Bombyx mori: one gene and its partner. The protein of the gene in region 2 interacts with the protein of the main gene of each other region in a pairwise test. Links are inferred from orthologs where the notes say so. Each region holds a gene or a part of one and is shown on either strand. Other genes may lie near its edges.

Region 1 (12,622 bases), on a different chromosome or scaffold from region 2:
CCTGTCTATTGTGAGGTCCATTGTTGTTGATTTTGTTTCGACAATGAATGATTTTGTATTCTTGACCACGACAGCATTTATAGTTCTAACAGCTATTTATTGTTATTTTTGTTTTATTACATTTATATACATATATATAAATATACATATATATAAATATATATATCTAATAAAACAAAAGTGGTCCCAGCGAACTTTGTTCCGCCACACGGTTTGTTTCAAACACAACAACCGGTCAACTTCAAAATTCTACTATAATTAACCATAGAATATATTATGTTTAGCTGTCAGTAGCGTTTTTTTATTCCATATCAGTTGCGTTTTGTTATGCCACGTTTTATGTCACGTCCAATGGGAACGTGATAAAAAGTATCCTATGTCCTTCTCCTGGTTCTAAGCTACCTCCTCACCAATTTTCAGCCAAATCAGTTCAGCCGTTCTTGAGTTATAAATAGTGTAACTAACACGACTTTCTTTTATATATATAGATATATAAACACCCATATATAAATAGAACAGGGAATCCTAGTTTAACGGTAAATTATCATGTGTAAAAAAACCGATAAATCTATTAATTAAATAACTAATTTCTTTCTGTTTGTCAACAGATATTCTTTTTTTTGATGGATTATTTAAAAAATTTAAGAGCTATTGTGATTCCAAAAATAATTGTTATTGTTTGAAATACTTTCATTATAAAACGAAACAATCGCATAAAGATAAGATAAGAACTAAATTCATATTTTTTGTACTTAAGTTTTTTTTCCTTTAAGAGACTGACGATCCATCTTATGTTATGTGGTTGTAGAGCCCATAGATAACAACAATGTAAAAGCCGCCACCCCTATTTGCAGACATGAGTAAGTCTCAGTTTTACAATACAACGGCTGCCCCACCCCGAACGAACCGAAACTGATCACTGCTTCACGACAGAGAGTGGTGGTGCCTACCCGCGCAGGCTCAAAAGAGTAGTAGCAACTATTACATTGTACGAAATTTAAAATAATTATTTCGTTGTTGACTAATGCTAGAGGTACTGGTAGTATTGGCGACCGTCGCCTAATCTATTTCTATTTAAAAAAAACAACAATTTGAGTCATTGCTTGTTTTTTTTTTTTTTGCTTATATGGATGGACGAGCTCACAGCCAACCTGGTGTTAAGTAGTTACTGGAGCCCATAGACATCTACAACGTAAATGCGCCACTCACTTCGAGATATAAGTTCTAAGGTATCAGTATAGTTACAACGGCTACCCCACCCTTCGAACCGAAACGCATCACTGTTTCACGGCGGAAATAGGCGGGGTGGTGGTACCTACCCGTGCGGACTCCCAAGAGGTCCTACCACCAGTGATTACTTAAATAATAATTTTGCGGGTTTGATTTTTATTACACGATGTTATTCCATCACCGTGGAAGTCAATCGCGAACATTTGTTGAGTACGTATTTCATTAGAAAAATTGGTAACCGCCTGCGGGATTCGAACGCCGGTGCATCGCTACATACGAATGCACCGGACGTCTTATCCTTTAGGCCACGACGACTTAATACGATTTGCATAAGAGGTGCTTACTAAAAGTAGGTGTAGTTATTGTAAGCCCGCTTTAGTGGCTTACACAATCCTGTCTATTTCTGTCTCCAAGTATTCATATCTCAGAATAATGAAGGTGATCGTTCTTAGAATACAAACGAATACGGTCTGAGGGAACGGACACCAGTAACACATACGATCTGGTCTCTATGGGCTCATGGTTGTTCAACTTTTGTAAAAGGTATCTGTGTCAACCAGAAGCGTATGAAATAAATCAAAGAAGGTCTTCAAGAGTACTTATTGTTTACAGCCTTTTGATGGTAAACTGACATAGTCATGTGAGCGGATTTAGATGCTCATCTGTTCATCTTGTTGTTAATGAAAAATCTCAGATATGTAAGATTTTTACACAAACCTTGGCAATCCACCTGGAACACCCAGGCCTGGGTTCTCAATGTCTCGACGTGGAGCAAACGGGTTAAATATCATTCCACCCCCGAAAGGAGAGAACGGATCGAGATCTGAATGGCCAACGTTACGGCCAGGAGGAACTGCCCTGTATGAAAAATAAATTAATAATTGTCACTCATTTAACTAATATTTACTACTGGCAAACTCGTTTGTACACATCCCGGGGGCTGCATACCAAAAACAGATTAGATTAAAGCAGAGAAACCATAGTATTCTAAGTTTTTTTTAAATACAGAAGCAAATTCTGAAAATGCGTGATAAATGAACTTTTCCCCGATAATCGAAATGAGGCATTAAAGCTAAGACCGAATTTTGAAAATTCTTCCACGTTTTTACTAAAAAAGTTGCGATGATAAAGATCATATCGATATATACTTATGTATAAAATTTTATAAAAAAATATTGTTTCAGAGGTTATAAAGGAAAATCCGTAATTATATTACAATCAGGTCTTATTGTAATCGTATCCTATGTCTGTATTAACGAGTTTAAATTAATTTTTATCTGTAATGATGAAAACGTGGAACAGTTTCAAAACAGAGGTTGTATTACGACCCGATTAAAATCATTGGCAGCTGAATCTACGCAAGCATAGAGCAGAATATACAATACAGCAAACTATTAAGACGCGCACACAAGGTTCACGAACGAAGGAAGGTCATGGCTTAAGGAGAAATTGGCCCTTATGTTCCACCTGATGCGAAAATATTGCTCTAACACTATAAATCTTCAACAGCTGCCAAATGCAAGCTCGTGTATAAACCTATTTTATACCCATATTATGTCAAACAACTGTAATAGAAATATATTATTTCGAACTCATACTATCAACCTTAGATTAATTATGGGTACAAAAGATGAGCCACTAGCCCCCGAAACCGAGCATTCTTTACCATAGATCTTGTGAATCGGGATTAACTCCGGGTCTGGGTCTGGGAGGAATTCTCAGTGGATCATCTGAAGGCCTTCTAGTGTTTGAATGATCTGAAATTTTTAAACATTTGACCTTGAGATAAAAATACGGTCACGTAAATCAGCACATTGAATTTCAGGTGGACCATAAGCTGACTACAGTCAAACTTAAAAAAAACTAAATGAAATGGGAGTCGAAATGGTCGAATGCATACTGTAGCTGTTTATTGAATATTTAATAATTAAATAGCACATTTAATTTTACATGCTCCCTTATTTTATTGAGCAATTTTAACCACTTATTTTCTTATGTTATTTACAGAATTAAAATGGAAGATTGAGTTTAATTGAAGTCGTCATGAGCTTACGGAACAGACGCACACTGTACTCTCGGAGTATGTGACTCCAAGCCAGGATTCAGATCCTGTATGCAGCTACCAAGTATACTTAACAAGTGTTCACGAGCAATTTGTGTGAATAATATTGTGTAAATTTCCTCCAGCTTATATCTGTCGCAAAACAATCACGTATTTTGATTTAAAGAGTAGGATAGCTTTTGTATTAAAACTACAGACCGTTAACTAGAAAATCGTGTGTCACAGTGAGTGGCAGTACTGAAATTTATATATCTATAGGCACCGGTAGTCCTTTATCATCAACTGGGCCATAAGCACGTTCAAGCGTCTGTACAAGAAATGTTATAATCTTGAAACAGCAGTGACTGAATATCTTTTGCACGGCAAATAGGATATTCACATTTTTTTATTTTTACTCGACATAAATACATAATACTAAATTTGCTTGTGATGGTTGTTAAATTTTTGTATGGCAATATGAGAGGGGCGAGTATTATCTTTCTGCCTATTTCTGATACGCAGTAGTCTCTCAATTAAATGGTCAGTGGTTTTGCAACTTAAACCTTATGTTTTCATAGGAGTGGCAATGCTTTGTGATGTTTATAAGATGTGCCATGCAATCTAAAATAATCATGAATGTGTTTTCTACTTGACACAAAAAGTCTATTATGAAAGAAGAGTAAATTTAAAACAAAAACTTGAAACATTAATTTAATTTTTTCCTCTAAGTTCTACGTTTAGTATGTGCTAACCAAATTTTTAATATTATCTAAAAATCAAGTGTGTAGAATAGTGAAGGAGCTGTGATAAAATCAGCCAAATTGCACACTTTTTATATTCTAAAGTCTACTTAAAGCATGAGCAGTTATAAGGCTGAAAACTTATATTACAAAAATTTTGTTTAAAAATTACCTGATGCAGTCTGTGTTTCCGAAGTAGCTGTTGGCTTGTCTGTGATGCTATCAATTAGATCTCGCTTTATAACAAAAATGAAATCTTTGTAATTCGGCATCATGACGTCTATGGTTCCATTTGATTCTTTCAGTATTTCGTCTATCTTTACACCTATGTTCGTAACAGCAAGGTCTTCAGATCTCTGTACAGAGTTGAGTATTTTGTTAATCGTATGTGGAACTTCATAAGAGACAACATCAATACGGAATTTGTGGGTTGATGAAGACAAAAGAATTCATGAATTAGAAAAGGGAAAACAGATAGGTGATTTACCAACTCTCACAACATTCATTTACATACACTACTAGACTTGAAGACATTAATGACAGAAGAATGTTATTATTATGTTTTATTATTTTATTATGAACTTAAGCACACATGTTTGGTAACAAGTGAGTTCATTAGATGTCTGTCATAGACCTTTCATACTTTAGTGATGTCTATTTTTATACAAACTGCACTTAGCAATCCTTTTATTAAAAAAATAACAGGTACCCTCACTAATACATTACAGTTATTTATTGTTACTTGTAAACTATTAACCTTTGGTATTGGAGAATGGATCACTAATTTACACCAGTTATCTGCAGTAGCATGGTGTGATTTTTTAATGCACTAGATAGAGGATAGATTGAAAAGAAGTTTAGGGACACATCTACTAATCTATTAGATAGTTGGTTATCATATGTTGAGTTACATTTTCTAACTAAAACATTTGTTATCTTTTAAATAGCATCATAGAAACTTTCTATATCGTTTCAATATTTTTGCCTAGTTTGATTTTAATTTTTAATACTTACTAATATTTATCGTCAGCATTGAGAAAACTGTTTTTTCTTTTAGTTATGTAACAGAGCCCATAAATATAAAAATTTGTAAATACAGCCACCCACCCAGCATCAAATCAAAATGTATTACTGCTATACTGCAGAAATAGACAGGTTGATGGTCCCTATTCTTGTAGGCTCTCAATTTTACTTCACGCGTGTTTGATTTTTATTATTTCATGTTATTCCTTTAAGCCTTTAGATTTTTGAATGTCATTTGTATTATTAAACATGAAGTTTATTCATAAATGCTCAGAAGCATGTAACTTATTTTAGAACTCAGAAGAGTGTAACATAAAACTTGTTACTAGTTTCATAATTACCATTAAATTTACAATTAAATTTCCATCAGTGTTTAAGCCATGTAGAATATAGAGTTTAGATTCGAGAACATATCTTATTCTGTAGTTCTCAGTGTCGTTCCATCCTTCAGGAAGTAGCTCACTTTTAGGTTCATCGCCAGTGATTGTTCTCTGAAATGAAATATTTAATGGCTTTAAACGACAGTAAATTCTTGTTCATTTTTTTAAATATAAAAGCATTATTTATTAAATTGTTTAAAATTCTATCAAAATTTCAGATTACTGTTTATTTACAAAAATAATAGTGCATGTCTTGGTCTCAGCATTGTATTGTATTGTTATGGTATTTCATAAATCACATGCTATCTCCCTTTTAAGATTCAAATCATTATAGTTAGTGACTACTCAGATAACATTAACTGTTTGGATCAGACCTCATAAAAAAATTGCAAGGATATTTTATAGTGATATTTATAGAAACAGATTTTTGGCACATCTATAATATTAAAAACTAAAGATACAGGACGAAAGTTTTCCTACATTTTTAGTCATTTGTTTTATTTATTTGGCCCTTACATTTACACTTCGTTTTATACATTGATTGTGTATGATTACTTATGTATAAAAGATATACATATAATTATGTATTTGATTGTATTTTGTTAAGTATAAGCACATTAAGCACTGTTTAAGTCTCGTTATACAGCGTAACCTAATTTACTGTCAGAAAACTTTTGAATTAGGTCAAATTCTCTTTGGACTTCGTATTCAGGTTGTTTGTTATGCTTGACTTTTACATTATTATTAGCCTGCACACACAAAAAAAAGTCATTACTTTCAAGTCTTTTTGAATGTCTGTAATGTTGTATATGTAATATATAGCACAGCTAAGGATAGGCAGAGCTAGCACAGGATATTCCAGAAGAGAGTAATTAAGGAAGACCACAACCCTCAATATTAAGGATTACCAATGTGATGAGGATAATGCTGTAGTTCACAAAGTATAATTAGAGATAAACTCATTATATTCCGCTATGACATTGTCAGCCTTCTTCTTCTGAATTCTTTTGCTTTTCTCCACTACTTGTAAAGCACATATTTTTTGAGCTCGGATATATCAGTTTAGAAAAGTAATTAGCAGAGCTTGCTTTAATTTAGTGCCTTAGTAGGCGCCACCAACATATGGTAAGTGGTTACCCTCACTCATGGATGTCAGCAACGCCAGGGGCATGGCCAAGTTGCTGTTTAAGCACTGGCATTGGCCTGTCCAAAGATGATGGACACTACTCACGATCTAGTGGAACATAGGTATTACCTTCGAAAGATACATTCTAATTTGAAGAGACGAAAAAAACAGATCATCAGTACTTTACCTTATTGTAATAGGGCTCAAAAATCAATACAAATGAAATCTATTTTAAATTTTGTGTTTATAAACAAAATGAACATTAAAGGTCCATTGGTATCATTGAAGGGACGCTGAATCTGCTGATTAATTAATTCCACTATAATTTCAGTAGATATACTGTTTACGTGTTTTGTTGTTTTAAACGACGCATTTTATATCGTATATAACTAAAAATTAGTAATGTGAATTGTAAGAATTCCTTGTTTGATTTTATTATTACCTCATCACTTAAGCCGATGCTTCGAAAACCCCTCCTTGTTAAATTCCAGTGAATAAAAGCAATTATTATGTCAGACTGTTTTTTTATATCCCTCTCAATTGTTTTGAATGTTAAATCCCAGCCAAACAGCGGGTCTGATGCCATTTTGACTATAATAAATGTCCACTATGGTAGCTATATTTGATAGAAACACTTGTTAAATCCGTTCAAAGTATTTCAAGACAGCTGAGTTGTTGTGATAACTTCAAAAAAATGGTTCCCCTATGTTTTGTATCATATGTTCAAGCAATAGACATGCAATACAAACAGGGATGACGATTCGAGATCGATTAATCGAAGAAACGATTTCTCGAGCCAAAAAATTTTTTTAAATCGATATGTAGTTCTGAATCGATTCAGTGAATCACCCTTGAAAATCGACATTCGATTTTTTTCAGTTTTGGTAAAAACCATAAAATTATTCCCAATTAAGAATTTGAATTAATTTTTCAACCAATAAATAATCAGTGACCATATTTTTGCGATAATTCGATACTCAGTTAACTTTACACTTTTTTGATTCCATCTCTTTTAATACTTATTAATATAATAATATTATATAATTGAAGTGAAACTTCCTTATCGGCGTTGGAAAAAAATTTACCGTCACATTTTTCGGTTACGCGTCACTTTTTTCCGTTACGCGCCATCTGTTTTGTATTCATGTCTATGATAATAAAATCCTTTTGTTTAAACTTTATCTAATTTAACTTTTTTGTATTCATGTCTATGATAATAAAATCCTTTTGTTTAAACTTTATCTAATTTAACTTTATTTAACCAATTTCTAGAAAGTTGCATGTAGATCATTTTTCGAAAAATAAGGCCATAAACAAGTTTCACTTCTTACGTGTGTACACTAGTACACGCACACATTTTTTATAATATAGAGGATAGAGGATTGGTTGAATGTACCCGTAATATTACGGTGTTGTAGGTGACAAATACACTTATAAAATAAATGTATTCTTTTAAGCCTGAACTGATACTTTGATAATTAAAAAAAGAAAATTCTATATGTCGGTGGCGGATTAAAGGTCCAGGGCGCCCTAGGCAATCACTTTACTGGCGCCCCTGTACCGGCCATAAAGGGCCCTCATAATACTATAAATTTTAACTAGTTGTTTTTGCAATTACGATGACGTTGTATCATCAAACACTAGACTTTAGTAGACAGGGACCCTTGTACTTACGCTAATGTGCGAATGAAATACAAACAAACCCGCAATATTGCTTAATACGAGTATATCGATGCTTGTGCAATATCATCTATTATAGATTTAGATTATAGATCAGCATTTAGTTCTTAATCGTCGATATCTTATTTTCTTAATTCGTTTAAAAATTCTGAGCTCGCGACCCCTTGTAACTACACGCCCTTAAGCACGTGCCTAGTTTGCCTTATGGATAATCCACCTCTGATTATTGTCATTATCGAATTCCCTGAGCTAAACAACTCCGTGATTTTACTGATAAGAGATCATTTATTATGTCATATCATATATTACATTGTAAATGCAAACTTATAAAAAATCCATTTTTAAGGAATCGATCTTTTGGACCTCGAGTTTTTTGTGAATCGATTTATTAGGTTACGATTTGAATATATTTAAAAATCGATCTTTTTCGTCAAGAATCGCCATCCCTAAATACAAATACAACGCAGAATCTATGAGTAGAGAATCTTGTTTATATGTGTATTATTATCTATGGTAGAGAAATCGCTAACTCACGCCGTTGTAGGTACATATTAACTCCATGCTCACGCCTAAACCTTAGATCTTTCTTGATTTGTCTATTTGCTAAGGCAAAGGGATCGGTAATTCAAATGAAAAAACAGTGAAGAATTTGAAAACTGAAACGGAACAAGAAAAATGAGATGCATTAATAAGAAATTGATTATGAAACTAAGCGATATGAAATGAAATTGAAGACAACACCGAGCATCAATGAAATAGTTTAAATTTAGTAATTCAGTGGACTCTTTGAGTTTACCCGAGAAACAATGCCTAGTCACTAGTGACTATTTTATTAGTGTTCACACTTGTGCATGTGCAAAGATGATAAACAAGTTAAAAACCACAATTCAAACGGTTTAATTATATGTTTTTTATTGCATCTAAACTCTAGCTCCTCACACACAACGTGGAAATATATTAAACTAAATTAGTCAATTATGAAACGTAGTTTGCTAAAAGCTTGTAAATGTAGACAGTGGCTCTTACTTAATTCTTGTTATTTGTCTTTATGGTATAGCAATAAACCTTCCAAGACAGTCTCAGATTACGACATAAACATAGAAAAACCATTCATGTTAAAGATAAAACGTTTTTCGTCATTTTTCACTCGAGATGTCTACCATAACTTTATACATACATATTTATGTACGGAGTATTTTTTAAATGCTTAATATGAGACTATAAGTCTCAAACAACCAAATTTCTAGTTCTTGAAATTTTTATGTCAGCTCTATTTTAAAATTTGTTTCAAAAGCCCGCCAAAAAACTGTCAATCGAATGGCCAATTGCGAAAACCGATTTTAAACGGAAAATAATTTTGTAACTATTTTTGTTGAGAAAATCAAACTGGTAACTTTATAAATTTATTTTAAGATCTAGCCTTGAAATTTTCACAAAATTACGATTTTGACAACGGTTTTTCGTTACCGGTTAGTAACTGAACATGCATGCATTTATTCGTAAAAACAATATGGCCGACAGTGTCATTCCGGGGACGTCGTGATCGTAACGTGAAATAATGAATTTTGTAATTCTAGAATATGGGTGAATATGTGCAGTAAACTTCTTTACTATCGTGAAAAAAGTGTTGTGTTTTGATTCTATTTGTGTAATTTGTGTGCAAAATGGCGTCGGATAAGATAAAAGTCGCGGTTCGTGTTCGTCCTTTTAACAGGCGAGGTAAGTTAGTTTCATATTGCATATAAATAAAGAAATCGCTATCGTACAGGTGACCGTATATGCTTTTATCTCTCTATATAATGGCCTCTATAATCACGATAAATATTACTATAGAATGTAATCAGTTAAATATTTATGTAGGTAGCACTTAGTTAGGAAAAGTAGTATTTTTTCTTGCTTACTAATCTAGATCAATTGTTACAAATATAAAAAGTAGTTACGTAGACAATAGACACATTTATTTTATTTCATTTCAAACTTTCGGTTTTTAGAATTTGAACTTTCATATATCTTTAAAAATTTTAATATATCTTCAACCACTAATAAACTATTAAACCCACTCTGATAATATTTTTATAAAAAAAATCTCAACATTAAATTTAAATTTTTTTGGAAATGTTTACAGTAAAATGCATCAGCATGTATGTGCAAGCTTTTAATTTACAGAATCAATAGGTAACAATAAAAAGAAGTAAGTTCACATATAGTAGTATAAATATTAGATTTTTGCAAAAAAAAAAAAACAGTAAATTTTACAATGAACTGCTTCAAGTCAAATGCTAAACATGTTTCAATAACAAAAAACCTTTCTTTCTATCTTGTTTTATCACACTAAATGCTACAAATACCAATAAGTATTTTATTCATAACTTAAACAGCAAGTTGAATTCTACGGTTTTAAGAGGGCCTTCAATAACATTATATTTATCATCTTTAACAGTTTATGGGAAGACACTTTGTTAATGTAGGCTTTAGAAGCACAAAATTTATCACTTACACATTTCATAAAACTTACACTTTTAGATGTACACTGCTTAGATTTTTAAAGCCTTTCTTCAGTATCTTCATTCAACATTTAAAGTGATAGGACATTGACAATTTACAAAATTTATATATTTTTATGTAGATTAGATTGTAGCAAATAAATTTTAAGTACTTCTGTAAATAGAATGGCAGTTTGCAAATTCAAATCTATTTTTTACATGTAATCTATTCTATATCTATATAGTACAGTTATTGCTAGGTAGCATGAATTCACAAATAAATAGGAAACAACCTAGTAATTAATATTATTTGTGGTAGAGCATCTTGAGAGTCTGCCTGGATTATACCACTGAATACTGACTATTTATTTTTGTTGCCAAACAGCTATGTGGTTTGCTTTTGAATGCCAGTTAAACTGTTATTTCAATGCAGTTACATGAGACTTACACTTTGTGTCTCGGGGTAGGTGGGGTCATTATTATTTTTTATTTTTTATAAATTCATTTACTTATTAGAATCTTGTTGGCTTTTCTTCAATTAACGCGCTTGATGAAAATAAGGACTAATAACCTTTTATTTATTTAAAAAAGTATTGCCACATCACAAACATTTAACATTGAAAATAACTTCAACTATTTAATTTATGGCCTGATGCATGTGACAATAATGGCGTACATAACATACCTTTAACTAATACTAATTGAACAACTAATACCCTAAAAATCAACCATATTTAAAATTTGTAATTAATTTTTTTTTGCCGAACATAATTCAGAGTCAGTAAAACAGTTTGATTTGAGGTGACATTGCAAAACGGGATTGGAAGCAGCGTGCCGTGGACGCGCCGGTCGACCTCGCGTTAAGTCATTATTATGGTGGTCCATTTGTTTTCGCGCAGACGATAAAACAGTATTAAGCACGTATTGACCGTTTGAAACCACGCTCGTTGTGAATGAACTTGACTTAGATGATAAAGCTAAATTCAATAAGACAAAAACATACAAGTAAAGTAGCGACAGGAGATCGCGCTAAGTCCGCGTAGGATATGTTATGACCAGGTGTGAACTCGTTATGTTTCTGCACCAAGCTTTAGGATGCCAATTCAATAGGCGTAGTATTAAGGTCCATAAAAGCCCATGGTTTTATTAATTTTCGTCATCACAGAAACCAATGTTTCCAGAATATTAAAATTAAGAAAAAATGTCGTAATAATACTGGGTTGGTTTTAAAATACATACACTGAATGAACTCAAGACTACAAATTTCTCTGAATTTAGGTATACACTGAATGCTAAGAACGATGTTCGACTTAACTGAAATCAATACAACGACAAATTAAGAGTTTGTTAGAATTAACACATCAATTAATCTTCCGTAAACCGCTGATTTGAAGAAAAGAAATTAATTTGGATCAATAAAAAATATAGCCTTCTAATGCACACAGTTTTTATGTGTTCAGATTGTCCAATGTTCATAAGCGACTCACAAACGAGATTTCTTATTTAACTAATTCGTATCTCGTAATTTCATTACATTAAAATTTTGTTACAGAACTCGAACTCGGCACACAATGCGTGGTGGAAATGGAAAATCAGCAGACCGTCTTACAATATCCAGTCTCGTCACACGAAAAAGAAAGGTAAACGAATCGACGCATTCAATTTTGTTCCTAGTCGTCCAGAATTATGATTCGAAATGTCTTAGAAAAATGTTGAATTATAATACATTTTTCGTAAATGTACTTTGAATAAATCTGGATATTTTCTGATATTAAAGACATTATTTTATTGTTTTAATTACATTCAAGACTTTTAAGCTATTGCATAGATTTTATCGCGGGCCTTGAGAGCGGAATCATGAAATTCCGTAACGAAAACAACCTTCCACCCCTCACTACGTCTACTATGTAGCTCGCGTT
Region 2 (12,032 bases):
TTGCTCCCACACAATAGTTCCGTGGAACTGCTGCCATGTAGCGCACCAGAGCACAGGTAGCATCTCTCCCCCCTCAGGTTGCCCCGTAACCTTCATCGGGGGAAGGACAGGACCCTTCGCCCAAGCTTCCCATTCCCTCCGAGGCTAGGACCCGACCCGGATGTGGTAAGGGTACCACGGTCAATACTACAACCAGAAGGCGCAGCTCACCCCCAGGACGCCCGGCCGACGGAGCCTTCGAGGCGGATCGAAGGTTCTGAAACGTCAGCCGTCTCAGTACGGCAGCCCATCGGGCAACCCAGACGGTGCCATTGATGTCCCGGAATATCCCGCTGAACTAGCCTGTCGGGTTGGGAAGCGATATATCGCCAACCGGTGATGAACCAAGATGTTGATATTTCTCCTCGTCAGCGCGCTAGAGTACTGGTAGAGTACCACGCAGCCTCAACCCCCTCAGGCTGCCCCATGACCTTCACTGAGTGGATGTCGCCACCTACAGGGGCCAGGATGTACGCTCGTACTCTCTTCTGGCCCCTGGTTCGACGGCGACGGATCGGTGTGGAAAATGCTTTCCTTCTCTCGTTCCGCCGCCTCCTTCTGCGATGTGGTAGAGTCGCAAAAGTCGAGCATCGCCTTCTTGCTTCGCTTCGCTTGCTTGCGGATGCTTCGCTACCGAGCGAACAGGTCCTCTTCTACGACCGCAACGAGGGTGGCACGTTGCTCATCCAATCCAGAGCAACGCGCCCTAGTATGTTTCACTGTATCATCCTCGTCACGGTCTGTGCAATGGTGGCACTGCACTGTCGGGTCTCTTCCGGCATTTTGTGATGTAATATTACCAACATTCATGAAAAATAGTTACTACAAAATACTTTCGTTTTTAATGGTCACATAAAAACAGTCTAAATATCAACCAGTAATGAATTAAAAGGCCTTAATTTCGTCATGGACATCCTTAAATATTTAATTTATTATATTTATTACTAGAAGGATGATAATCTCGAAAAATTCCTTTTACTAGCAAAGTAAAGGAAAGCAGGAAAGCACAGCAAAATAAAGAGGGTAAGGACGCGTAATACCACGCGTTGGTCCGATCAAATTAAGACGATATTGAGCTCCGAAATCAATGAACTGCGCAGAGGACAGGGTTGAATGGAAGAAAAAAGTAAGAACAAAAGTGTCAAAAAAGTGAACAAAAGGTCTCAACCCTCAGCACTGAGGAACATGATGCAAGGAGGAAGAAGGGTGCCAGATCGGAATTTATCTATATTACTTTTGTACTTAACAAACAGTAATAATATCAATGTGTTAAAACTGTACGGAAATTGGTATATAGATAAAACAAAAAATTGTGTTGTATTTCAATTACGTGGACAAATTACAATGGAATTAAAACTAAATTAACAGAAGTGAAAACCCTAAAAAGTTTTCAGTAGCTCAGTAATAACTAGCCTTCGCATTGCAATGAAATATTTTCGTCCCACATACATAACGTAAACATCACAAATGGACGAAATTAGCACAAACATTGTTATTTTTAGGGTAATCAAATCTAAATATAGCAACACCGGATTAAACCTTAATGTCATAAACGCAGTCAAGCAGCTGTATCGTACGTGTTTTGTGTGAAAAAAATCGCGAAAATGTACAAATACAGCCATTGTTTTTGTAAATATTAAATGTGAAACCATATAGCAGCATGTCGAGCCGCCGTTCGATGCTCGGTTCGGCGTTAGATGCTCTTCCGGCGCCCACGGATCCCTTAAGGGAATTGTTCGAAGCTTGCAAAATAGGCGATGCAGCCCGTGTAAAAAAACTAGTTACACCACAAACGGTGAATGCAAGGGACACGGCCGGACGTAAATCAACGCCTCTACATTTCGCTGCAGGTATTTATCGTTAAAATCAATATTCGCACATTGTGGTTAAAAAATACAATAATAATTGAAAATAAAGTGAAAGTATTGCGGGTAGTGTGAGAATAAAAATGTTTATAAGTAATTGCATAATTAGTCACGGTTTTTGATTACAGTATTTCGTGTTCTATGGATAATCACGTTTTCAATACTGACTGAATTGAGTTTCGTTACCTTGTATGAGTGACAAAAAAAAATTGTCTGAAAGTTATGCTCATAATGAAACATTAGATTTGTTCTATTCCAACAACACGAATGTAACATTAGTCCTATGTGAATTATTAACAGTATTGTTTAAATAAATTAACAAATTGTTGGACTTGTATCATTGTTAACACTGCAATAGTATGCATATGAAATCGCCTCAGAATATTAATAAAAATTTGACCCAGTTTCTGGATTAGGGTTGTTTATATTGGCCTCTCTAGCCTTCGAAGGAGCAGTTTCAGAACACGGTCTACAACTAAATTATGTAGTATAATAGATGTCCCACTGCTTCATGGTTGAAATATGATGAATAATGGTACTAATGCATGTCATTTTGGATCCTCCTGATCCACAATCATTGCTTTTATGTACCTCAAGTCGCAGTCACTGTTCTCGTCGAACCTGTCTCTTGCAACAAAAGCTTTGGTGAGCAAAGTGACCCTCAGACACGGCTGACTGTGTTTCTTGCCAGATCTGAGTAGGTCTTCTAATCTGGGAGTGTGGATTTCTAATCTGGAAGTGGGTTTCTAATCTGGGTGGTAGAGTCTGCTAAGCACTGCTCTTACTAGAGCTAGTGTTAGCAATGTCCCCGTTAGAGGTCACTAGAATAGCTAGAAAAAAGTAACAACTTATGAGAGTTCAGATCACTCATATCAGTACGAAAGAAATTTCTGATTTTTTTATAGTTTTTTTTGTTCATAGAATAATTGCAATTGTCTTGACTTGTTTCAAATTTAATTTCATTAATGCTGTCCTAGAAACACTAAGCATCTACTGATCTCAGCAGACAACTTTATTTATGTCACTAATAGTATCAATAATATCTTTCCTATGCCATCAAATACATACTAGAAACATGAGTATTAAGAAAAGTAATTTATGGTACTAATCTCCAAAGTTTTCTTGTTTCTGCTATTAAAAACAGAATGGCAATATTACTAAGTAGAAGAATTTTTAAATAAACAACAATATTTTTTACATTGTTTTTATCAATCTTACTGAGGAGATCAACATGTGTTGTCTTGAATTTTAAAATTATTTACTCAAGTGTTCAAACGCAAAGCGATTTAATTAAAGATAGCCGTGTAATAAACTTTGTTTCTCTGGAGTTCAGTGGTCCCAAGAGAAACTGCATCTTATATTAAATCGTCTAACATAATAATAGCTAGATTCCGAAAATGAATTAGGTGACTTAACAAGTGTTTCTTTAAACGTAGTTTTTCATTGAAGAGTGTACAGCAGCATTTTATTAATACAGATACGGTTTATTAAATTGCTAAACTAATTTTATTTTATAAATTGTTAAAACTAAACCCCTTTTATGTATATGCGGTGGGTAAAAATGGAATAGTATATAAGTAACTTTCCCACCTATTCATTGGTAGCCTAAGGGGCTATTCCAACTTCGTGCGGACCGGTAGGTGAGCTCATGGGCTTAACCTGAGAGAATTACTAACACTAGCCCTAGCAAGAGCAGTCCTTTGCTGAATCTACTAACATAACGGAATCAAGACATGGAATTATCCGGCGTGAAACTCTGTGGGCTGTGTCTATGAGCTAATTCGTTCAACAAGGACGGTGATTGGTGCTTGAAGAGTCTAAAAGCACTGAGAGTGGATCCGGGTTTTGATAAGACATCTTGGGCGATGGTGGCTTCGCTTTGCCCCGTCACCTGGATTGGATATGTAGTACATAAGTAGTAATACTTTTATTGTACGGTTTGTACATACCTAACTGAATAAGTTGACGCGCAGTGCGTCGTCACTGTGGTATCAAATTATTTTATTACATTCTTGTATAGCAATGCACTTAGCAACACGTATTCGTTAACATGCTACCATTTGTACTTGTACAACTAACATAATAAAGGTGCTCAAACAACATACTTACTCTTTGGAAACTTCCCCTTGGAACCCAACATCTTTTTTGGTCCTTCGAGCCAGATTTGAATCAGTGACCTATGGATGCCGCGCGTCGTGCGTTGACGCGCGGTGCGTGTCAACTCATTCAGTTAGGTATGTACAAACTGTACAATTATGGTTTGCAAGCTTATTGTCACAGAACATGTCACTGCTTTGTGAAATAGCTCTATTACATAACACGCTTGATCTCAATACCCCAATAGAATTGTGTTACAGCGGTTCTACCATTCAAGTCAGGATGACTTGAAACATCCATAAAATTCAAATTCAAATTCAAAATTATTTATTTCAACTTAGATGTCAGTATGACACACTTGTTGAATGTCAAAATACAAATAACAATGTTAACTCTACCACCGGTTCCAAAAAAAGCCACAGTCCTGAGAAGAACCGGCGAAACAAACTCAGCGGGTTTTTTTTTTTTTGGTTTTTCTCAAATATTTTCTTTTTTTTAAATAAATAGCAATATTCACAATAAAAGAAAAAACAAGTCAAAAAAATACAATTAAAATAATAATAATAATAATGAAAAATGAAAAGGCCAGGAGCGAGCGCCTCATTCCCACGTAGTGCCATCTAGTAAATAATCCTTAACTTTATAATATGCCTTGTTGCACAAACGTTCCTTAATAGTTTTCTTAAATCTATGAACAGGTAGTAGTTGAAAGTTTAGTGGGATCTTGTTGAAAAGCTGTACACCCAGCCCCCTAAAAGAGTTGCTTATTTTCTTAATTCGAGCCGCCGGCAACGCAAGCCTATGTTTGTTCCTAGTGTTCACATTGTGCAAATCGCAGACTCTGGGGAATTCTTCAATGTTTTTACGCACGTACAATAAATTTTCAAAAATGTATTGGGACGCTAAAGTTAGAATTTTGATTTCCTTAAACTTGTCCCTCAAGGATTCCCTCGGGTGCATATTATAAATAGCACGAATAGCCCTCTTCTGCAGGATGAAAATCGTTTCGACATCGGCAGCATTGCCCCATAGCAAAATGCCATAGGACATAACACTATGAAAATAACTAAAATAAACCAGGCGTGCCGTATCTTCATTAATATACATTCGTATTTTTTTTTACCGCAAACGCTGCAGAACTAAGCCTACTCGCTAACTTGCATATGTGAGGACCCCACTGCAGCTTGGAATCAACTGTTATACCAAATACTTATAGTGTAAGTTATTAGTAAACAATTTTTATTGCATACAAAATGATGTAGTATTTTCTCAATTCTACCAGGTTACGGACGCAGGGAAATAGTGGAGATACTCATCGCTGCCGGAGCCGCTCTTCAGGCGAGAGACGATGGCGGGCTGCAGCCGTTACATAACGCGTGCTCGTTCGGTCACGCTGACGTCGTCAGGGCCCTGCTTACAGCTGGTTCGTTCTAGAATCTTGTTTGTTGTGTAGACAGCTTTGTAGACATCATCTGGGCATGCATCTGTCTGAGCCTCCGAACACCACATTGTACCAAAATCAAATTTCCGGGATGACAAATGTTAACACTTAATTATTTTTTTATTGCTTATATGTGGACGAGCTCACAGCCCACCTGATGTTAAGTGGTTACTGGAGCCCATAGACATCCATAACGTAAATGCGCCACCCACCTTGAGACATAAGTTCTAAGGTCTCAAGTATAGTTACAATGGTTACCCCGCCCTTCAAACCGAAACGCATTACTGCTTCACGGCAGAAATAGGCAGGGTGGTGGTACCCACCCGCGCGGACTCACAAGAGGTCCTACCGCCAGTAATAAAAAGTCGTATTGTAAATTGAAAGGAATGATGTGGAAACTAAACGGTGTGGAAGTTTTTTTGAATAAGCATAGCGGGTTGTATCATGAATTTACACTGCCGACCATCAGTAGATTGTGGTGCGGACAAAACTTTGAAGAATAGATTCTGTTGATTCTGTTGCCATCTCTTTAACACTTCGAACAGACCGAAGGGTCACAATGAAACACTGATGCAATTGTTTAAAACAAAAATTTTCAATAACCATTTTTTTTTCATGATTATTTTACTGAGTTGCGGAAAGAGGAACTCTTGAGTTTTCAGTTTCTTTGATCCATCAAAAAAGGATGTTTTAACAGGTTTTTTTTTCATTCTAGAAGCTTCTTATTTATATAGAATTATCTTTAGGGGTACCATCGTAATGGCATTAAGTGGTATGACTATAAAGTAACACATATAACGTGGGAGTAGGCACAGTTCTATCTAAATATAAATGTTGGACGATCGAAGTCTGACTCCTCTTGTCTTATCGATTTGAGGAACACCAGCTGCCTGGTCATGCGGGCGCAGGAAACCACAGCGGAAGCATTGAACCCAACGTTTGATGGTGTTTCTAGGAGCTCCACCGGCCGCCAGAGACAACTGGGGGTACACGCCCCTCCACGAAGCGGCTGCGAAAGGGAAAGTCGACGTTTGCATAGGTAAGTTAGTCCTTACTGGTGTCCTGAGTCTTCCCTGCCACCGGTGTTGCCACGAAGCAGTAATGCGTTCCAGTTTGAAGTGTGCCGCAGTGGGTCCACTATAGAACTGAGACTTGGAACTCATGTTTCAAAGTAGGTGGCGGCATTTAGGTTAGTCGATGTGTGTCGTGGAGTCACTATTGTACAGCAGTATGCTTAGTGCGAGTTTTTTAAACGTTCTCGATAGCGTAAAAGTTAACTCAAATTTGTATGGAGTGGGAACGTTGCTCACGTTTGCCGCCAGGGGCGCTGCTCCAACTGCATACAAATTCAAGTTCACTTTTACGCTATAGAGTACGTTAAAAAACTTGCACTAAGCACACCGGTAAGCCGTGAGATACTTCACCCGCCCAAGGGATAAGAGAGATGACGTCATAACTTTTTTTTTCTCCTACCGACGCCGAAAGTTCGGTTTTCGTGCCGCTGTACAGGGAAGAAAGTGTAACTTTTCCCCTCGCTTTACAGGGAAGAAAGTGTAAATTTTCCTCCCGCTGTATAGGGAAGAAAGAGTAACTTTTCCTCCCTGGGTACTGACAAGTGCGCATGCGCGTTAGTGTCTACGTTTGCTCTCACGCACCTAAAATTCTCCGCCAATGTTGTGGTCGGGTAATTTGCAATATTGTGTTTAGTGTAAAAGTGAAATAAACAAAAGGCAATATAATGTAATAGTGAAGTATTAAACAAAGAATATTTCATCAGACAGTTCTTATTCAATTAGTAGTAGTTTATTTAAACAGTTAAATTGTTTTTTTATGAGTATATGGGAAGTCTCCGCCCCCCTTACCCCGTCAGGGCCCCGCCCCTGGGCCCCGCCTCGGTACTCCACGAACTTTCGGCCTGGTAGGAGAAAAAATTGTATGTGCACCGCGGGAAAAAGTAGGACATCTCATCCCGCGTGTTTGCAAATTTTACACGCGGAAGGAAATGTCCAACTTTTCTCCCTTGGTGCACAATGTACTATTATTACTCATTCGATCCTACAGCCTTAGAGGTATCCTGAGCTCAGGGATGGGATTTTTCAATTTTTTTTTGTGCTGCGATCTTGAAATAGCTCGTCAATGAAGAGGAAATCAATAAGGGCCATGTAAATTTTCAGCTCTCCTCCAGCACGGCGCCGATCCGAACATCAGGAACACCGAGGGTAAGACGCCCCTCGATCTGGCGGACTCTTCCACCAGGCCCGTGCTGACAGGTATAATAATGAATTTTAATTTAAACTGACAAAATTAACCATTTGGCAGGGTCGCCATGTAATGTTGTACTTTTAATACTCTACAAGCCTCGTTTGAAGAAGGACATGTCATAGCGCTCGGGAAACACCGTGGAGGGGAGCTCATTCCATAGCCGGATGGTACGTGGCAAAAAAGATCTCTGGAAACGCACTGTGGATGACCGCAGTGGCTCCAGGTAGTATGGATGAACTCTACTCCGGTGGCGGGTGGTGCGATGGTAAAAACGAGATGCCGGTATCATCTCGAACAATTCCTCAGAACACTCCCCATGGACTGTTAAAGGAAAACGTCTTCTAGTGTGTATTCCATGTTTAATAATCATCTCAATCCTAGTTTACAATTATGAAGAAGCCTATGTTCCTGGGTGATCCGCCTTATTAGGGGGACATGCGAGATTACACCTATTAACTATGTTATATACTAAATGCTATGCTAATACTATGCCATGCTATGCTATAATGTATAAGTATACACACTTCACTCGACCTTCGAGCGTTAAGGATGTAGCGGCGGTCGCGAGCTGAGTTTGTTGGAGAAATGAAACGATACCAAGGAACAAGTGATATGCGGTCATCTAACTATAGTAGAATGATTTTGTCCGCGCAGTTTGGGTCATTAATAATCGGAGCGGTGAAGCGAGTATTTCGCTCTCTCTTCCACTCACGGGCCTTATGGACGGGCATAGTGATGCGCATTATTGTTTTCGATAAAGTTTATCGATAGACAGTGTATTTAGTTTTGTCATTTTGTGGGTTAGTGATAAAAATGAAAGTAAAATTTACTAATCGAACACTTACACCTCATATCGCCGCAGCAAGTTAACGGGAACGGCAGAAATTAACACTTTGTAACTTTTAGGGATCTATTTTAATTTCAGTGAAAAATTATTAACACATTGTTGATAACAACACGTGCAAATATTATTTTTAATAAATTCTGCCGTTTTGGTACAAAACAAAGGAGTAGCCATTGTGTCACTAAGGAAATTCAGAGAGCGAATGCATAAAAACACATATCTCTCGACATACGTACTATAATTTGCAGGAAGGTACAACAAATGACTCATAACATAACAATGTCTCACTACCCTTCGTATACCGCCCCGCCGCCTTCATTGACTCTTTTGTTTTTATCGAAAATGACGTTGCGCCCGCGTAACATTCTCACCGCCCTAGCCGGACGGGCTGATTTATGACCCAAACTGCACGGACAAAATAATTCTACTATAGAAACCCCTGTATGTACGTTTGAACAAATACATACACCAATTAAACAACCAGACAAAGAGCAAACAAGTCTGTACGTCACACGTATGGTTTGCCCGACGCGGCAATCGAACCTCGGGGCTGTGTTATGTCGGGGCTATGGCTATGCTAATCGAACTATGGGCTCCAATAACCGCTTAAAACCAGACTGTGAGCTCGTCCACCCATCTAAGCAATCTCTCTCGAACTCTCTCTCTCCCCCTCTCTTTCCCCCTCTCTTTCCCCCTCTCTTTCCCCGTCTCTATCTCCCTCTCCCTCCCCTTCTCTCTCCATCTCCCCTCTCTCTTCCCTCTCTCCATCCCTCTCTCTCCCCCTCCCCCCTCTCTCTCCATCCTTCTCTCCCTCTCTGTCCCTCTCGCACTCTCTCTCTTTTCACCTCTCGATATGTACTATTCTGCGTCAGGCGAGCATTGTGCGGCGGAGGTCTTGGAAGCGGCCCGGTCCGGCTCCGAGGACCGGCTGGCGGCCCTGCTGACGCCGCTGAATGTGAACGTACACGCTGGGGACGGGCGCCGCTCGACGCCGCTGCACCTCGCCGCCGGGTACAACCGCGCGCGGGCGCTGCGCCTGCTGCTGCAGCGGGGTGCCGACGTGCACGCCAAGGACAAGGGGTCAGTGCTCGTAGTGGGGATCCTCGTGGGGAGTTTTACTGGTGGTAGGACCTCTTGTGAGTGGAGACCCTCGTGGGGAGTTACGCGCTGGTAGGACGTCTTGTGAATCAACGTGGGTAGGCACCACCAATTTGCCTACTTCTGCCGTGGACATGTGATGCGCAGAAAGAAGATTTCGGTGGTCGATTCTGCGAAGCACTGCTCTTGCTAGGGCCGGTGTTAACAACACTCCGGCTTGAACCCCGTGAGCTCACCTACACACGTTAGGGTGAAGCTGAAATAGCCCCTCAAGGCTATCAGCATAGGTAGGAAAAAAAGAGAAGATGAATGTGACTAGGAGATGTACGGAAATGGTAGTGCATAGAAAATACATAGACAATTACAATGCCCCCATCCATCTTGAAACATGAGTTCTAAGGTCTCACTTTTAACAGTACAAGGGCTGCCCCGCCCTTCAAACCGAAACGCATTACTGCTTCACGACAGAACTAGGTGGTATCTACCCGCGCGGACTCACAAGAGGTCCTAGTAAATCTATATATTAATACGTGAAGCAAAAACTTTATATCCGTTTTTACGAAAATTGCGCGGACGGAGGAGTATGAAAATTTCCACACTTATAGAGATTATAGAAAAGAAGTGCACAATGCTAATATTTTTTTTAAATAATGCATAAAAGATTCATTAAATCAATAAAGAAAACATTACACACACTACCATGTATTTGACACAGCACATACATAAAAATATATTATTTGTTTACTGTCAATTGGGAAACTTTTGTTATTTTTTAAAGTCTTGTCGAATCGAAAATAGATTAATATTGTTTGTCATTAATATTATTGATCTATAGTGCAGTTTTGGCGAATACTGTGATAATATTATCGAAATATAATAGTGTTTGACAATAGAACCATAATAATGTTTAAATTTATAATTTCAATTAATTATAGTCGAATCTCGACTACTGCGGGGCCACTAGTAATAATTATTTTGGCAACGCAACATGACTGCAAGTGTACATAAGGTGATTTCCTTGACCCTCAGAGGCCTGGTCCCCCTGCACAACGCGTGCTCGTATGGTCACTACGAGGTCACGGAGCTGCTGGTGGGGGCGGGGGCCGATGTCAACGCCACCGATCTGTGGGCCTTCACGCCCCTGCACGAGGCCGCCAGCAAAGCCAGGCTCGAGGTGCGTGGACCCAGCCATCATGGCTACCCTATACTAATCTTACAAGATCACTAATGCTTATGGTTGGCAGCGGCTTGGCTCTGCACCTGGCATTGCTGACGTCCATGAGCGACGGTGAGCACTTATCATCAGGTGGGCTGTATGCTCGTCTGCCTACAAAAGCAATAGAAAAGTAGATCTTAGTTTCATTGTTATGTGATTCAGTGATATTGTTACTATAAAGAAACTAAAACATGGTGCTCATTGTCTTAAGACGCGCGGCGCTATTTGGGTTGCCGATGTCTATGGGCCCCGTAACCCCTAAAGACCAGGTGGACCGTGCATGTAATTTATAAAAAAATGTGTACAGAGCATGAACGAGGAAATAGTACTTAACTGTTTTTTTTTCTCGTAGTAGTAGTAGTAGTAATAGTGGTAGAGATATCTCAGATAACGTAGCGACATAGTACGCTTGCTTGCTTCTCATAGTGTGAGGAAGCAATGAGTCACGCGTGGGAGTCGACGGGGGGACGGTAGTCTCTTTCTCTCTCTCTCTCTTTTTTCTCCGTCTCTCTCTCTCTCTCTCTCTCTCTCTCTCTATCTCTCTCTATCTTTTCTTTATCCCTCTCTCTCTCTATCTTTTTCTTCCTCCCTTATATCCCTCCCTGCACCCGGGCGCTGGTGGCGACTTACGGTGCCACTTACGTGACTGGCTCGTCGCTACGTATAAATTAGTTTTATCACTGCGTTTGTTCGTGACGTTTCCGTTCTGCCCTGAGCAGGTCTGCTCTTTGTTGCTGAGCGAGGGGGCGGACCCAACCCTGCTCAACTGCCACGGGAAGTCGGCGCTAGACGTCGCGCCCACCAGAGAACTCCAAGACAGACTGGCCTGTGAGTAACTTAGGAAATAAGATCCCCGGGCAGGTGGTGGTAGCTAGTGGGTCTTACGTGGGTAGATACCGCGATCCTGCCGCGTAGGTGGAGGGCATTAGTGTGGAATAGATATGGATCGCCGGATCTTCTCAGTGGGTCGCGTTCCCGATCCGGTGGTAGATTCAGCGAAGCACCGCTCTTGCTAGGACTAATGTTACCAAATTCTCTTAGGTTGAGCCCGTGAGCTCACCTACCCATCCGGGCATAGTAATAGCCTCTTAGGCTACCAGCAAATAGGAAGGAAAAAAGATATAGACTCTAATATTACATACCTTAAGAACCATTCTTTTAAGCAAACGA

Evidence for each region.
Region 1: the proteins of poly [ADP-ribose] polymerase tankyrase (region 2) and proteasome inhibitor PI31 subunit interact in binary tests that used the Drosophila melanogaster proteins (3 or more experiments, as listed by UniProt). The link is inferred for Bombyx mori from reciprocal best matches to the Drosophila melanogaster genes Tnks and PI31.

The regions. Positions count from the first base shown.
Region 1 is NC_085111.1:15,237,228-15,249,849, reverse strand, and holds the start of proteasome inhibitor PI31 subunit, read right to left. Parts: upstream 7,321-12,622; 5' UTR 7,127-7,320; coding exon 6,983-7,126; intron 5,526-6,982; coding exon 5,376-5,525; intron 4,368-5,375; coding exon 4,184-4,367; intron 2,988-4,183; coding exon 2,897-2,987; intron 2,089-2,896; coding exon 1,948-2,088; intron 1-1,947. Other genes in the region: kinesin-like protein KIF13B, read left to right, coding at 9,885-9,939, 12,256-12,343.
Region 2 is NC_085130.1:10,971,003-10,983,034, forward strand, and holds the start of poly [ADP-ribose] polymerase tankyrase, read left to right. Parts: upstream 1-1,557; 5' UTR 1,558-1,699; coding exon 1,700-1,889; intron 1,890-5,283; coding exon 5,284-5,424; intron 5,425-6,397; coding exon 6,398-6,481; intron 6,482-7,616; coding exon 7,617-7,712; intron 7,713-9,420; coding exon 9,421-9,628; intron 9,629-10,675; coding exon 10,676-10,820; intron 10,821-11,581; coding exon 11,582-11,690; intron 11,691-12,032. UniProt on the Drosophila melanogaster protein: Stimulates proteasome activity, probably by ADP-ribosylation of PI31. Modulates 26S proteasome assembly.